Linked DNA regions of Yarrowia lipolytica. The protein of the gene in region 3 interacts with the protein of the main gene of each other region in a biochemical or structural test. Links are inferred from orthologs where the notes say so. Each region holds a gene or a part of one and is shown on either strand. Other genes may lie near its edges.

Region 1 (4,764 bases), on a different chromosome or scaffold from region 3:
GGATCTGTTTTTTCTCGGGTTTGTGGTGGAGAAGATTGCTCAGGAGGGTGACCGGTACTGGTCTACCTTTGATTTGTTGGTGAATCTTGACTTCGTCGTGTTTCTGGTGCTTAGAATCTATGCTTATGTCATCAACGATATCTGGCTCACCAAGTTATCTTTTGATGTGTTATCTCTAGAGGCCATCTTGCTGTTCCCTCGGGTATTTGCTCTGCTCTCCATCTATCCCTACTACGGCATTCTTCTACCATGTCTCAAAACTCTGACCAAGGACTTTGTCAAGTTTACCACCATCATTGCTATTTGCTACTTTGGTTTTCTGACAACTTTTGCATTCCTTGGAAGAGGCGATTTCACCACCAACGAAATGTTCTGGTTACTGGTGAGAGTCTTCTTCGGATCCTCTTTTGCCGGGTTCGACGAAGCGCCCAAAATACATCCCATGTTCGGGTCTCTTCTCATGCTTGTCTTTGTCATGCTCACCAATGTTTTGCTGTTGACAGTTCTCATTTCCATTCTTTCAACCCGGTTCTCGAAAATGATGAACAATGCCCGAGAAGAGTATACATTGTTGTTTGCAGAAAGTGTTGTGGAGGCAACCAGTGATCGAGTCACCTACTTGTACCCTCCCTTGAACCTGCTTCCGCTGCTGCTGCGTCCTCTGAGACTGTTTCTCACGAAAACCCAACAGCGACGAGTGAAGATTGTCACTCTCAAGCTCACCCACTTTCCTCTCGTCTTTCTCATCTGGTCGTTTGAGAATTTCGTCGTGTTTTACCATAGACAGATGAACCGAAGGGCCAAGAAGTTGGCGGAGAAGAGATGGGTCAAAGCGAGGAGGAGAGTGTATGTGGAAGAAGAGGGAGAGGGGTTGGGGGATGGAATTGCGGTTGGTGTTAGATGGTGAGCAAGCTGTACATAATTGTACAGTACATGCTGCACCAAAATATTTATTACTGTACTTTGTCGTTGTGCTAAACTCAGCGAGCGACTATCTACAGATAGTTGGATGCTTTAGTATAAGATTCAATATTAATTGAACCTTTTCTCAAAAATTAAGTATATCTAACAAAATGCCAAGTAAATCCGAGATCACACAATGGCCATATTGGAAGTCCCTGCGAAATAGTACGGACAGTGCTACAGTACAGTAGTCAACTAAAAAGCGCCTCTTTATACTCTACTGTAAGCCTGTATTCACCATGAGTCAGCTACAGTGTCCCCTTCAGATTTCTCCTGCTGGACGTCCCTTCCATATATATATGTAGTATCGCAGGTAGCTAGAAGCGCGACACCGAGAGCTCTTTAGCTTTATATCCATTCCATCAATTCATTAGTATGCAGTATAATTCCAGTCAAGAAACACATTTCGTTCGATTAATACTTAATCGTCGCCATGTACTCCTTATACGCCCGTCTCGAGGCACACCCCTTTTTGTACAACATCTTCTCAAATTCATCGTACTTGTGTACAAACTCTCCTCGTCGGCCAACATTGTCATAAATATCCGATATCCGCTCGGCCATGGCTGTGGCGATAATAGTCTCCAGTTCCTCGTCTTCAAAGAGCTCTAGGTAGTAGATGGCCAGGGCAAAGAAGAGAGGAGACTGGTATCGAAGATCGACGCCAGGAGCATCCGTTTTGAGAGCGTTCAAGACACTGGGCTTGAGAGCGTGCGGGATCTTGACGGTCACAAAACACTCTTGGTTGCCGGAATACGGGTCGTATTCAGACTGTGAGAGCACGTCTGCGATCCAAATGGGGAGATCAATGATTGTACCTTCGTTCATCTTGGTTAGCTGAGAGAAACGAAAACCGGGAGTCCGTGGACCGGTGCGCGTAAGCGAACAAGAGTGTCGCCAAATAATAGAATGCCACTGACAACACGTAGAGGGCTCCAAAGGCTGGACATGAGTTCATCAGGAAGCAAGTCTGGCCGACAATATGTTCATTTAGCTCTCAAGAGCAGATCAGAACATCAGAAGTTAACAAACAAAGGTCAAGCCCATGATTTAGAAGTTCATTGACCTCGACGATATCAAGCTGTGTGTAGGCAGTCTCAACTTATAATCGCAAGAGCACATCAAACGTATGCAGAACCAGACAGGACCAGGGAGGGCACCGCAGCTAATTCATCATATAGACCAGCTATATCATAGCGGACTTGGCCTAGGGACCACCTCCGTATCCAACCCGACCTCTCCATAACCTCATACTCACGTCTTTCCGTCCTCGTCCTTCCAAGAAGCCCAAGTTCGGGACTCCAACTTCAAATCGGCAAGGGATTTTCTGTGTTAGCAATGGGTGTGAGCAAATGGGGACAGAAGAGAGCTCGTCTAGACGAGATCCATTCTACTCGTACTAGAATCTGACTCGTACTCAAGCTGAGCCTCAGTCACAATCTTAGCGTGCAAGTTCCATCCAGGTAATGGACTCCCTGATAAATGCACTATTCGCTGCAGTCATGCCATCCCGTGTACTCACCTGACCCTCCATCAGAATCTCGTCCAGATCGTAATATCCACCCATGTTGTATTGTGTGTGAGTGTGTTAGCACAGTATAACATCCTGATGCACCTTAATTATAATTTCGCGTTTGGCGTTGTGCGTTTGAGATGTACAGTATGTACTGTAGCTTCTATGGGAGACCGAGACGCCACACCGCTGATGTAAACGAGTATCTCAGTTGATAAGCTGAAGTATATAACGCATCGACATCAATATATCGTCTCAGCTCGATGTCTCAACGTGTGTTCGTTCTCTACTTCTCAATCGTTGGTCAGCGACAGTCTTGAGCACGACCTGGCAGCTCTCCGGTTAGTGCTGCTCTGCTCAACTGAAGAGATCAACGCGTCACCCATTCCGATTCCACCAAGAATCAGAACGCGAGTAAGTGCTGGTTACACACTGTCTCGTTACAACTTCCAGCAGATTGTGTCCAAAACCAAATCAGACTGGCGCTTCTCCATCATGGGTATTTTTGATGGGGAGTCAGCATGGCGACACTGCATTGTCACCAGAATTCACTGCCAAACAAGTATAAAATCGTATACAAGCACGAGCATGATTTTGTTTACCAGTATCCATTCAATCAAATTGTTTACTAGTTCAAAACTAGCGTCGGTTTTCTCCCCATTCATCCCGTATCCGTACTGTACGTACTGTATGTAGCTACTATAAGCGATGACAGCACTACTGGCCGATGTCTACCAGTAGCACGTTTCGGTGGCTGTGTGTATTTGTCAGCGGTTGTGTCTGTATATTATTAGTTTAGTCACGTGCCACTGGGCTTGGGGTGGTTTGTAGAATTGAGAGGCTGTTGGAAACTCTGTGATTCGTGTTGATTAATTCGAGTATTTTAATTAATAATTAAGCGAATAGAATGAAGAAAAAAAAAAGAGGAAAATGAAATTTTCAATTAGTCAGAAAAATTCAGGAAAAATTCAGGGAAATTAAGATGATCCAAGAAAACCCAGAAAGAAGTCGGGGAAATCGATAAATTTCAAAACTCGGCTGAAAATCCCAGCAGAACCCAGCCAGTCGTTGTCTACTTGTAGGCGAGACGAGACCTCTGGTCTCTGACAACAGCCTTAGTCACCCTTCTGTCATCTTTCCTTCATGCACAATAATCCCGATAAGGTTGTTGCACGTAGATATAGACAGCCATGTTTGGGCATATTGGAGTACTCATGCCGTTAATTGAACCAGATAAATCCATTTTAAATCTTTCTTATGTCCACCAGTCGAATTTTCTCGATATCAATCCGCCCACAGCATCTTGTACCCTATTCGCAAATTATTCCATTGTCAATAAAGTTCAATCATACATACACCTCCTCTGTACATCACCACCTCCACACACCCAGTAGCCTCTCACGTCACTATCATGGCCTCCACTACGCCCCAATCAACCAGCTCAGCGTCCAGTTCCCGCGTGGGTGGCACCATGATCAACCCCAAGGGTAATTTCGACCCCACCATCCCCGCCATTCTACCCCATGAGCAAATGTACGCGATTCAGGTTGGAGATCAGCGATTCACTTTGTCTGGAGCGTCTCTATCAAGCGATGGCCCGTCGTACTTTACCGAGTTTTTCCTGAAACACAAAGACAACCCGCCGGTGCTTTTTCTCGACCGGTCTCCGGACATTTTCAAGCTCATTGTGCGCCACTTGCAGGGCTACTACATCATGTCTTCCGACGAAGCCACGTCGGTATACCTGCTGATTGATGCACGATACTACCAGCTGCCGCGACTGACTCAGCAACTGCTATCTTCGGAGCTCATGATTCGCATCGGAAACGAGAGCATCAAGGTTCCTCGGACGGCTTTTGATACTCCTGGAGACGAGCAGAACTTTTTTACTGCAGGCATGGGCGTGTTTTTCGGCCTCGAGCACGATACCAGCGACGAGGTGCATTCGCAGTTCATTCGTCCACCCCCTCTGGCAATTCCTACGGTGCCCAAGCGAGATGGAAAATTGTTCAAGGAGTTGCTAGCTATTCAGCTAGGCGGTTTTGTGAACATTCACTCGGAGGAGCATCGAGAAGCGCTGCTGAGAGAATGCAGATACTTTCGGTTCCGGGGGCTCGAACAGAAAATGATCCGGCACGAAATCCGAGTCGACCCAATTCGGAAGAAGAAGGAGATCTCGCTGTTCCTCAAAAACTTGGACGTGAAGAAGATTGAGCTAGTGGACGGAGTCGTCATGTACAAGCGGCCATTTGTTGACACGGAGCTCATGGATCTGGTGTTTCAGGTCC
Region 2 (5,509 bases), on a different chromosome or scaffold from region 3:
ACGCAATCCACACCAAAGTTGCGACCATGGGAGGACGACTACGAACTGCAGGATCCTTGGTAGGGTTGCTGGTCAAAATTCACATCTACAAGCTCTCAGACCGCTACGGACGCAAGCCGGTCATCGTCATGTCAATGGTGGCAGTTCTGTTCGCCTACTTGCTCCAATGGGGGTTCGTCACTTACGCTCTGTCGGTGCCTCTGTTCCTATGGATCATCCCCAACATTGTCTTCTGCACCCACTTTCTCATGGATTTCTTTCTCATCTACCTTGCTGACGCAGCCTCTGCCAGTAAAGGGAAGCGCAACCTGCAGGAGCTGGCTACCGATGTCTCCTTCTTCTACGCCTTCATTCTGTTTCTGGGCGCACTGATTGGCCCCATGCTAGCCAACACCGTGGTTGCAACCAACGCCGCCGGATCGTCGTTTGCTGAAATGAGCAAGCTGGGACTAATGCTTGTCTTTGCTGGTGTGTGCTGTGTCGTTGTGATCCTTCCTGAATCAACGACGCTCGAATCACGGGACAGAGCTACTGTGAAGTGGGATGCGGAGTGGAGCGTCTTGAAATGGGACGAGCGACTCATCTACGTGTTCAATTTTGTGGCACCAATCTCGAAAGTGCTTCGTCTGGCTCCTTCTCCACAGGATAAACGGAAGAACTCCTTCCTGCTGGCCTACCTGGCTCTCTTTGGTCTGTATGGAACATCTCAGTACACTGGTTTTCTGTTCTACAAACGCCAATGGAACTGGGGCATGCAGGAGATTACCATTCTCAACGTGGAAGTTACAATCATTCTAATTGTGTCCCAAATCTTCCTAGGACCTCTGTTTGTCAACACGGCGGAAAAATTGCTGAATAACACCACTTCTTCCACTCCTGTGGCTATCCTTGGATGCAAGCTTCAGGCAGTTCTGACTTTTGTGGTTGGCTTTTTTCAGCTGTTGTTTGCATCTCAGACCATCGGAACACTGGCTGCCATTCTCTCAGGTCTTTCGGGTACCTTCATCTCGTCCACCATTGCTCTTCAGATGGGTCTTGGACCGCCCGAGAACATGTCTGTTATCATGGGAGGTATTGGTGTAGCGCGGAGTCTGGTGGCTGTTCCCAGTGAGATGATTTTGGCGGTACTGTTTGTGACCACTATCTCCGCACCCAGAATTTACCAGGCTGCCCTTATGGCTGTCGATGCTGTCAGTTTGGTTCTGCTTGGTGCTGCGTCCAGAGAAAATACCGGCAGTATTATGTTGCCATAGAGTAGAGGCAACAATGTATATAGTCATAGAGGGTCGCATCTATACAAGCAAGCGTTACTTTCTACTAAATAATGCTTCTATTAATGTATCCTATGTAAGTATTTGTTGTACATGACCGTTGTTTTTAGACCACAGTCAACCGCTCCAAAAACCGCGTCAAGTCGTTCTTATCCACCTCAATCACCGCCATTTCAAACATGTCCATCTTGTATCTCGTATGCACATCTTCTGCGGCCTTCGCAAACCGCTGAGTAAACTGGTTGAATACAAATCGGTCATCCTCCAGGTCCTCTTCCATGACAAAATGGTAATCTCGGGCCTGTCGAGGGTTCATGCCCAACACCATGTAGTTTCCAGTACTCTTGTCCAAAGAGGCCAGCACCAGTGGAGGAGAATACTTCTTTTTGTGGGCCTCGGCCTTTGTCTGGGCAATCCAGATACCCAGTCGACACAATGCCAGGGGGTTTCTGAACAGGGCCAGATCGGGTCCCTCCTTCACCACAGCCACCAAGTAGTCCGACACGGGCCGAATCTGGCCCTTTTCAATCAATGCAGTAGTAGTTCGAGCCACAGCTTGTTGTAGCAGCTTGGCCTTGCTGATTCCAAGCAACAGTGTATCCACATCTTCCAACGAGTCCCAGGCGCTCCAAAAGTTGGCTATCCAGAACTGGTCTCGTTGCGATTCGTCACGATAGTCTTGGTCGACTGTGAGCAGAATGCCCTCCTTAATATGATCCAATCCCGCGGGTGATTTGTCCATTCCTAGCTGCAAAATAACACCAGCAGCATCCACACAATCTCCAGCTGTCAGAGAGCCCTTGTATCCAAACTTTCGCACCACTCCGGGTCGCAGAAGATCCTCCAGATCGGCCACCTTGGCCGCCTTTTCGATTCGTTTGTTGAGACCCTGCTTGACGCTCACCTTCAAATGGATCCAGCCCTCTCGAGCCTCTGTCAATGAAACACCCATGATGGCCAGCATCTTCTGAAAGTTCTGACGGCCCTTTTCCGTCCACAGTTTCATCTTGGCCCAAATGTAATCCGTGTGGAACATGGAGTCGTAAATGTTCCAATGTCGAAGCACAAACAGCGAGTAGTCGGTTTCGAGTTTGAGAGACGTGACCAGCTCCTTTTCTGACACGGGGGCCTCAGAGTTTGCATTCTGGGCCATCTGGGCGGCTGCTTCTTCGTTGCCGACTCGATTTACTTCATCTGCAAGCATGGGAAACGAGTCCTGGAATACTTGCGGGTATTGACTGTCCAGAGAAGATGTTCCCACGACAGCTAACCATAAGCGAGTGATTGACGTTTCACCAATAAGCGACATGAGAGTGTAGAGCATGCAAGAGGCTGGGGAGGACTGAGAGGTGCCTTGCTGGTAGTAGGCTCTGATCTTGTCTTCAAAGTCGTCTTTTTGTTTCTTCGCCGACAGAAGTTGGGAATGCAGTTTCTTGGCGTCAGGCAGGTCTTCAGAGTTGGACCGTTTCGAAGGAAGTAGAGTGTCCACTAGATCACCACCATCGGAGTCAGAATCATTGTCGTCGACAGTATTGGTGTGGTGACCATTTCTCTTATGAATTTGCTGGTCGTCATCGTCGTCGTCATCGTCACCCTCATCTTCCAGATCACTCAGAGCGTCCAGCTCTTCGGCACTCATGTCGTTCAGCCAGTTGTATGCCACCAACAATTCCCCTCGCTCTTCCAAATTGCCCCGTCCGTCGTCAAAGCACACAATCTTGGAATCCAAAATGTTATCCAAGTGCCAGGGCCGGTTTCCGTCCACAATGTAAATCTTTTTGAGCTCCATCTCCTCGTCGTCCCCCCTCAACAGTTCCCCCACATCCTGAGTGGCACCGAACCCAATGAAGAAAACGTTGAGAATCTCGGGGTCCAGAGCCCGGTACTTGCGAATCATCTCCTCGTAGCCCGTCACCGGCACCGTCTTGTGGGGGATCAACTGGGCTCGCAGCAGATCAGAAAACATTCGAGCTCCACACAGAGCGTCCACATTGAGACACGACACAAACACCACCAGCTTGCACGTCATGTGAGCAATACTGGTCTTGCACAGCGCCCGATACGTCTCTTCAAACTGGTCTGGTTGGATGATCATGGTGTGTCGTTGTCAGTCGTCACTCACTTTGATTCGGTGTGGTGGAAAGACGCGTCAAGGTAAAGTTACGCGTGTGCAGACCGGTAATTAGAGGTTAGGGTACTGCAAAGAAAGTGCAGTCGGTGTGGTCACGTGAGGGTGTATATCTATGTGTGTGTATGTGTGTGTGTCCTGGTCACGTGATCGAAAAGGCGAGGGCGGAAACTGGCCCATAACGTGTCTCACAATCACTACAAGTAGATCAGGGGTGGAAACAAGTATGGATTTTAGTAGAGTTGGTGAAAAAAAATTGGTTTGTATGTAGGTATGTTTGTAGAGGTGTTTGTAGAGGGGTTGTAAGAAATATAAAAAGTGGATGTTGTAGAGAACGTGTTGGGGATTATTTCAATGATTTCTCCTTTGTAATTTGAGGTTCCTAAGTATCCACTATAGGCGTATGTATACTTTTACCTGTTACCGTACATTCTCTGGTTTGATGATAAGGTTTGTTAAATAAATGCCTTTAGTATTTGTTAAATCAATGGGATAAACTGTTGACACTAAACTAAGTCCCAACTAAATATTGTGGAGTACAATACAACACATTATTCAACAATTCAGACCAGTGCTCGTGTCGCTGACACCTGGTTACATTATTAATTACTGCTATTACAATTGAGGGGGAGGGGCGTCGACGTTAGCACTGGCTATCTTGGGCTCCTCTTCATTGGATTCGACGGCCTCGACCATCTCCTCCGAGTGTTTCTCGTCTTCGGGAAGGGCGCCAGGAACGTGGTCAGGCACCCAGTTTGCGGTTCTCCAGGCAGGAACTCGGGCGGCCCACATCATATCAATCTCTTCGAGGGTCTTGCCCTTGGTTTCGGGGAAGAGGACAAAGACGTGGATGGTCATGACGATACAGAAGACTCCAAAGATGATGTAGGTCTTCCAGTTGATGTTCTTGAAGGCCGAGGGCACGAATAGAGCGAGAGCAAAGTTGAAGATCCAGTTGGCAGAGGCGGTTACACCGGCAGCCACAGCTCGCTGCTTCAGAGGGAACAGCTCGGAGCAGTACAGCCAGATACCGGGGCCCCAGGTAGGCGCAAAGGTGGCCACAAACAGGTACGAGCACGCAATGACTCCCTTTTGGGCAGGCTTGTGAGTGGGCTCAATGACAATGGTTGTGAATGCGTCTCCGTCGAGTCCACCGGGGATCTGAGTTCCGTACACTGCAAGGATACCAGCGACGGCAAACAGCCAGATCATCATGACGATTGATCCGAACAGCAGCAGGGGTCGTCGTCCCACTCGGTCAATGAACAGAAGAGCGGGGATGGTCATGATCATGTTGATGACGTACTGGATAGACGAGGCCACCAGGTTGGCGTTTCCAGTGTATCCAGCCATGGTGAAAATCAGCACAATGTAATACATCATGACGTTCATGCCGGTGAGCTGCTGCCAGATCTGGGCCCAGATACCCACCATTGTTCGGTTGATGGAGTCCTTTTGGAACAGGTGCCAGAATCGCAGGTTTTTGGTCTCATGCTCGATTCGGACTGCTTCTCGGATCTCTTCAATCTCTAACAAAATGTCTTCTTCGGTGCCGTAGCCTCCCTGGTGGATGGCTCGAAGCACTCGCACGGACTCGTCCCAGTTGTCCTGCTTGGCTAGCCATCGCGGAGACTCTTCCAGGAACAAACAACCGAGAGACATGAGCAGACCGGGGATGATCTGCAGACCCCAGGCGACTCTGAATCCGGCGACTCCGTGGATGTTACTGAGACCGAAGGAAATGTAGAACATGATGAGGATACCCCAGGTAACGGCCCATTGGAAGAGACCGACAAGCCGACCTCGAATCTTCTTGGGAGACAGCTCGGAGATGTAGACGGGGATAACCGAGGAGCCCAGACCGATACCAAGGCCGGAAATGAGTCGACCGGCGATCAATTGGCCCTTGTTTTGGGCTGAGGACTGGATGGCAGCTCCAACCACCCACCAAAAGGAAGCAAAGTGGATGGCGAAACGTCGACCAAGTCGGTCGGAAATCCAGCCGGCCACCAGAGACGACAGGAAGGATCCACCGGCCATTGAGGCAGTGATACCGCCCTGCTGGATGGAGGTGGGGTACCCAAAGTACTCCTTGTAGGGTTTGGTGTCG
Region 3 (6,264 bases):
ATTCCCTCAAGTTCATGGACTCTTTGGACGCTGAGTCGGTGCCTCTTTAACGAGGTGGGTAACGACTTACAGACCAACGAGAAACATTTGTATATAGTATTATGATTATGATTACCAAGGAGTCTGCGCCGCACTGAACTCTTACTCGAGGTTCAGTTATAATTTCGTCTGATGAGCTGTAGAGTGCCATGTGTTATCTTGAGGAGACGTCTCGCTGTAGTATTTTCCACACTGCTAGCTACAGTAGAAACACAGGATGGGAAGTAACTACTTGTAGGTCTTTGAAAACGTCGTAAAATCTTGAAAGGTGGTACTGATGGCTATTTTCATGGGGAGCACATAGGTATATACTTGTAGAATCCTGGGTGCTGCCATCTTTTGGTGTTCCTGGCCGAAATGTCAGGTGGTCTGAGTGAGTGGAGTTGTGTATCCATGAGTCTCATCGAACAGTCGTCATCCTGTCTCAACCTATGCTCATCTTGATTACCAGGTTTCAGTCTACAGTATATGACATCTTCAATCAACTTGGTACACTCTTCACCGCGGTTTATGTTTCCAATCAGCTGTTTCCAACTCTCAGTAGTCCAAGAACACTGAATATTGGCGAAGAAGAAATTAAACGACTGTGATCATCGAAACCATGGCAAACATCATCTCGATTGAACTCATATTCCAAACAGGACAAAAAAGCAGCAAAAAATAGTTGCCTACTGTTTCGCAGACCATTTGTAGCCCGACGTGGGGCTTGAACCCACAGCCTTGAGATGATCTCGAATAAGAGTCTCACGCTCTACCGATTGAGCTAGCCAGGCGTTGTGATTCGGGGTGGGGGATAGCCGTTAAGTCGGGAAGGGGAAAAAAAGGGAATGATAAAAAATAAAATAAAAATAAAAAAATCCGTAAGATCACGTGACACGCACTGAGGATTCGCATTCCGAGTCCTTAGGGGTCTACGAGTATCAGAGGTCTATCTGTTAAATAAAATCGACTTTTACACAACAAATACATTAACGACTTACATATGACTCGCTGGGGGCGTTCCGATAAACCAGACTCTCCTCTCTAACAGAGAGCCTCATCGTGAGAGTCTCGGCAGCCGAGTGAATTTGCCCCTGAGAATGGAAACAAGTGGTTTGTTGTTTGTCATTCACTTTGTTCATTTTCCTAATTAATTATCCATGTGTGATTCACCTGTGTATATCTCTTACTGCATCATCGCCAAAAGTCTGAGTCGCCGTCTAGGACCCTCGCCGGTGACGCGAATCTTGTTCTCATTCTGCATTCCCTGGACCACCTGGGAAAACTCCTCGTTCGTCACCGCGCGCGTGATATCCAACACCTTGCGCTGCACCTCATTGTAAGGAGCTTCTCCGGTGGGATACGACTCCAGAGCTCGCTCAATCTCCTGAGAAACCATGGCCTGCGCGGTTCGCTGGGCCAGAGAAGTTCCTGTCTGAATCAGATCCATGTCGATTCGTCCAGAAACAGGATCGGTGGCGTAATCCTTGATGGCGGCTCTGATAAGTCGCACGGCTTCGTCGACGTCAGAAACCTCGACTGTGGACGAAAGACGCATCTTGGCATGTGCCTCTGACAGCCGAATCATACTCTCCAGCTGTCTGGTGGTGGCTGTGATTCGTTTTTCCGAAGACCGAGGATCATCTCCCTGCTTTCGCATGTCCACATATGCCGCCACAAGTCTGTCTTTGGCGTCGGGGGTGATTTGAGGGAAGACATTGGCTCGTGCGTACGACAGGTACAGAGTCAGAAACTCCACCGGTAAGATCTCTCCAGTGGCAGCAGTGGCGGTGTTGTCGTCAAGGTACATGTTTGCGATATGAGTAGCCAGATGACGATCGACTCGTTCATCGACTTGGTCAAGCATTAGATAGACGAGATCAAAACGAGACAAAAGTGTAGGAGGAAGATCAATGTTCTTTGTCACGGGCAAATCGGGATTGTACCGAGAGTCAATGGGGTTGGCTGAGGCAATGATGGACGTTCGTGCGTTCAAGGTGGTGATAATGCCGGCTTTGGCAATCGACACCGTCTGCTGCTCCATGACTTCGTGCAACACCGATCTGGTGGCGTCACTCATCTTGTCAAACTCATCAATGCAACAAACTCCGCCATCCGAAAGAACCAGAGCGCCAGATTCAAGCACGGGCTGTCGAGTATCGGGATCGCGTGCCACATATGCTGTCAGACCCACGGCCGAAGAGCCCTTGCCTGAAGTGTACACTCCTCGCGGAGCAATCTTATGCACATATTGAAGCAGCTGAGATTTCGATGTGGAGGGGTCTCCGCACAGAAGAACGTTGATATCGCCTCGGTACTTGGGTCCACCTCCCTTGGTGAACGTCTTGTTTGTGCCTCCAAACAGCTGCAGTAAGATACCCTTCTTAACGTCGTCGTGTTCGTAGATGGACGGAGCCAGAGACCGGGACATGAGGTCGTAGAGATCGGCTCGTTCAGACACCTCCTTGATTCGGTCCATTTCGTCGACGGTGATTTTTCGCGTCTCCTCCACGTCATTCTTCTCAGCCGCGTCCTCGTTGTTGGCTCCAGATATGTCGGTATCAACCTGGACACGAGTCTTGTCGGTCTTTTGCACGTGAACAACGTCAATGTAGGTCTTGAACAGCGATCTGATGGTTCTGTTTCGGGGATTCACTCGCGTAGGTACAGATCGGTAAATACCCGTCACCTGGACCCGATCTCCGGCCTTGCAGGCGTCCACAAGCTCGTCATAGACACAGAGAGACACCGTGTGGGGCGTCTGGCCGTCGGGAACAACGTCCGGTGTCTCTTGGAGTCGCACAACCTGTTTGTCGCCGAAAATGGACCGGTTGTGCAGAATTTGCATGGAGTACTTACTCTGGCACACAGTTCGAGGACAAACGACAGGTTCGGCGATAATACCTCTTTCGATTTGGACCGGTTCGGTGTGGTTGCACACCGAGCACTTGAAAACCGCCTCCTTCATGTCAGGAATGACCTGCGTTGATCTCAAAGACAGTCCCTTGACGCACACAAGATTGTCAATGTCTGAAGGATTGAGCTCTCTCATGCCTCGATCTGTGCCCAGGCCATACGGACGCACCTTGTACATTGTCTGTTCCACCTCCTGGATTACCGACTCCTCCGGGTGATCACTTCCCTCGACCAGGAGAGCGACCATGACGTCCTTGATGGTCTGGTCCATCAGAGGGATGATTTCTTGGGGGTAGAGCACCAGCTTTCGGTAGAGAGACGCCGTCGGAGGATACGCCAGCAGGTTCTGCATGTCCAGGTTCAGGTTGGTCATGCCCAGTTCGTGCATCTGCTGCAGCATGATCACGTAGTACAGTCTGTCAGGGTCCGAGTTTGTGTGTTGTCCAGTGGCTCCAATGTCTTCCAACACCGTGCCATCTAGTTGCACCCGGTAGCTCGGTTTGAAGTGCATCAGGAACCGTCGAAACTTGGCCATCACCTCTGGAATGGCGATGTCTGTGCCCCAAAGTACCGCTCGCGGCTCGTTTCCGTCTGTGGAGATCCCCTCGGAAGGCATGAGGCCCGCGGTGGAGATGTCGTTGTCGCTCTGGAGCCCGAGACCCGTGGACGACAGTCCCTCAGAGTCCAGGCGCATTGGCGAGCTTTCGAAGCCGTTTCCAAAGGTCGTTTGTCGACGTGGCGTGTTGATGTCGGACGAGAAAATGTCGCCTCGGGGCTGACGACCGCCGGCGGTGGCGCGAGTTGGGGTGGAGTCGAGATCAGACAGAAGAGCGGCTCCTCTGGACGAAGGAGCGCCACCCTGACGAGCTCCGGTGGACGAGGGAAGTCGTCGGGTGCCGCCGGAAGACGGCATCATGGCCGGCGACGAAGCCATGCCGAGCTCGCTGGGGGGATTCGACGAGCCCATAAACAGGGGCGACGACGACACGTTGTTGTCCCGCTGGGGGGACGATCCCAGTCCGATTGGGGAGCTGGGTGTGGACATGACGGGTGGATTTGCGCAACAGAAACAGAAATGCGGGAAACTGCGGTGATGTCGCCGATGACAGTGTCAATGTCAATGTCCAGTGCGGTGTTGTGGAAGCGGTGGTTGGTTTGGGAGAAATTCCTAATGCTTGGGACGCGTTAAAGTTTCAATTAAACGTCCCAATCGGGCACAGGAGACGTGTCGGTAGGGTAACTTGACGCGTGCCTCCCGAGACTAGAGAGATGGGCTTTTGACTGAGGGGATACGGGACCGTGAAATACCAGCTCCACGGCGCTTTCCCGTGTGTTTGTGTCACCCAGTTGCATTTCTTCACGTCCAGATGTACACCGAATGGTAAAAGGTGGGAGACATACTGTATGTACAGTACATACATACTGTACATACAGTGTATGTACTGAAGATGCTGTATATCTTTTTGAGAGGAGTGTTGGAATGAGTTGTGGAGCTTGGATGGTGATTTCAATGGCACTTTTGTATTGTAATGCTTGTACAAGGAATACAATGGTGGCTTTTGTTTTCTCGTGGGATAACGCTGGAAGAAGTTGGAAGGAGTTGTTCAGACGGCGTAGTGTTTGCCTCGGATAGATCTTGTACGAGTGGCGATTTCTCAAATATGAAGACATGTTTGTATTGCAACATGCACTTTCTGATTCCAATCGAGTTTTTTGATTCCATTATGACTACAATACAGTACTTTTGGTGGCTCTAGTACCAGTACTCGCTACAAGTACACACTACTGTTTTGATTATATATCGATCCTAGAAGGGTGTAATAAGTATTAACTGAATCACGGAATCAATACGAGTTAATTGGAGCTTTTCTTTTTCTGATTGGAGTAGTATTTCACGAGTTGGATGGTTTCGAGTGTGCAACTTCATATGGAGTGCATATACTGAAGCAGAGAAGTCAGAGCCGGTACTGAAGGGCTATAGACATTGTACAATCTCAGATTCTTGGATATTTCATGGGGAATGTGTTTTGCTTCCTCTTGTGTAGCTAGACAGACCGTAGCTGTATATTGTACCTACCGACAGTGACGTGAATAGAGCGACGATTACCCTAGTGTTTGTGACTTCCCATTATTGAGTACTTTTTTTTTTCTGAATAATACATTCATCAATTATGTCGACTCTCAACTCCTCATCCACTGTCCAACAAATATCAGAGTCTTCTTCATCATAGACACACTGGGCCATCGTCACTCGATCTTCTTCAGGATCGGGATCGAAGGACCAAATCTGTTCCCCAGGTAAACGCAATCTCGTTCCCGAGACTGTCTTTAGCAGCAATACATTTCACTCCTGGAAGCTGGCCTTCGAGATTCTTGAAAGCCTCATAAGCTGCCGTTTTCAGATGGAGACATTTGGATCATTTCACAGGCACAGCTGGGCCAGTTGGCCCGGGCCACGTGCATTCTCACGGCACTGATCCTGACTGGAGAAAACAGGTAGTTAGACAAGGCTTCGTCGGTGCCTTGATAAAATTTGTCGTAGCTTTTGGAATGAACTACGAGCCAAGTAGAGCTGAGTCTAGCCCGAACCAGAGTCAAATGACACAGCCCAACACCTCAAGAGACGACTGGGTGTAGTGCGACAGGGTTAGGAGGTGATCTGCTACTTCTGGTGAGGTCTGCAGATCGCCGATGGTTTAAAGGAGAATGTGATCCTGGATGTGGATCTGCTAAACCTCAATGTGAGCGAGAGATATTGACTCTGTCGACTAACGCTTGCTGCCGCTCGACTTCAACGGCATTGTTATTGAGTTGATGAAGGGTTTCGGACAAGCGTCGCAGTGTCAGCGAGCCTCGACAGTAGCATCCGTAACTGACAGTTAGAATAACAAAAGATCCCAGTCCAATCAGTTCACACTGTCATTCACACATCCGTCTTTTCCTTCGCCATTCACATATCCGTCTCTTCCTTCTTGACACGGCCACTGAAATCATGACTACAATCGTCTTCTTTCTTGGGGTTACTGACCCTTTCTGAGGCTTGTAGCAGCACATGATCTGTGTCCTCCTGTTTCTCCCCCTTCCCGCGATACAGTTGTCCTAACTCCCTCCACAGCTCCAGCCTCTTATCTCTCACCAACCCACTCGTACTGGGCACCACAAACACCCTCGATGTGCCCATGTGCACGGGCATGAGCCCAAAGTGAGGCATCTCACTCTTCTTGATCCCCTGGTGCTTGAACACGGCGCGAAATACAGTCGCCCAAATGCCGCGGCCCACAATACACACCAGCGCCGGTTTGTTGGCGCTAATCTGGTCCACGAGAATCT

What was found. The genes of interacting proteins can lie anywhere in the genome.
Region 1: the proteins of YALI1_F07429g (region 3) and YALI1_D02831g form a complex in vitro, tested with the Saccharomyces cerevisiae proteins (2 studies listed by BioGRID). The link is inferred for Yarrowia lipolytica from reciprocal best matches to the Saccharomyces cerevisiae genes MCM4 and PSF3.
Region 2: the proteins of YALI1_F07429g (region 3) and YALI1_B08438g form a complex in vitro, tested with the Saccharomyces cerevisiae proteins (5 studies listed by BioGRID). The link is inferred for Yarrowia lipolytica from reciprocal best matches to the Saccharomyces cerevisiae genes MCM4 and CDC45.

Annotation. Positions count from the first base shown.
Region 1 is NC_090773.1:281,393-286,156, forward strand, and holds YALI1_D02831g (uncharacterized protein), read right to left. Parts: upstream 2,531-4,764; coding exon 2,486-2,530; intron 2,291-2,485; coding exon 2,222-2,290; intron 1,792-2,221; coding exon 1,378-1,791; downstream 1-1,377. Other genes in the region: YALI1_D02804g (uncharacterized protein), read left to right, coding at 1-907; YALI1_D02852g (uncharacterized protein), read left to right, coding at 3,888-4,764. UniProt on the Saccharomyces cerevisiae protein: Functions as part of the GINS complex which plays an essential role in the initiation of DNA replication by binding to DNA replication origins and facilitating the assembly of the DNA replication machinery.
Region 2 is NC_090771.1:840,472-845,980, forward strand, and holds YALI1_B08438g (uncharacterized protein), read right to left. Parts: upstream 3,367-5,509; coding exon 1,378-3,366; downstream 1-1,377. Other genes in the region: YALI1_B08401g (uncharacterized protein), read left to right, coding at 1-1,253; YALI1_B08461g (uncharacterized protein), read right to left, coding at 4,015-5,509. UniProt on the Saccharomyces cerevisiae protein: Required for initiation of chromosomal DNA replication. Acts at the origin of replication. Also has a role in minichromosome maintenance.
Region 3 is NC_090775.1:740,689-746,952, reverse strand, and holds YALI1_F07429g (uncharacterized protein), read right to left. Parts: upstream 3,980-6,264; coding exon 1,205-3,979; downstream 1-1,204. Other genes in the region: YALI1_F07504g (uncharacterized protein), read left to right, coding at 1-50; YALI1_F07416g (uncharacterized protein), read left to right, coding at 4,862-4,866, 5,343-5,571; YALI1_F07401g (uncharacterized protein), read right to left, coding at 5,885-6,264. UniProt on the Saccharomyces cerevisiae protein: Acts as a component of the MCM2-7 complex (MCM complex) which is the putative replicative helicase essential for 'once per cell cycle' DNA replication initiation and elongation in eukaryotic cells.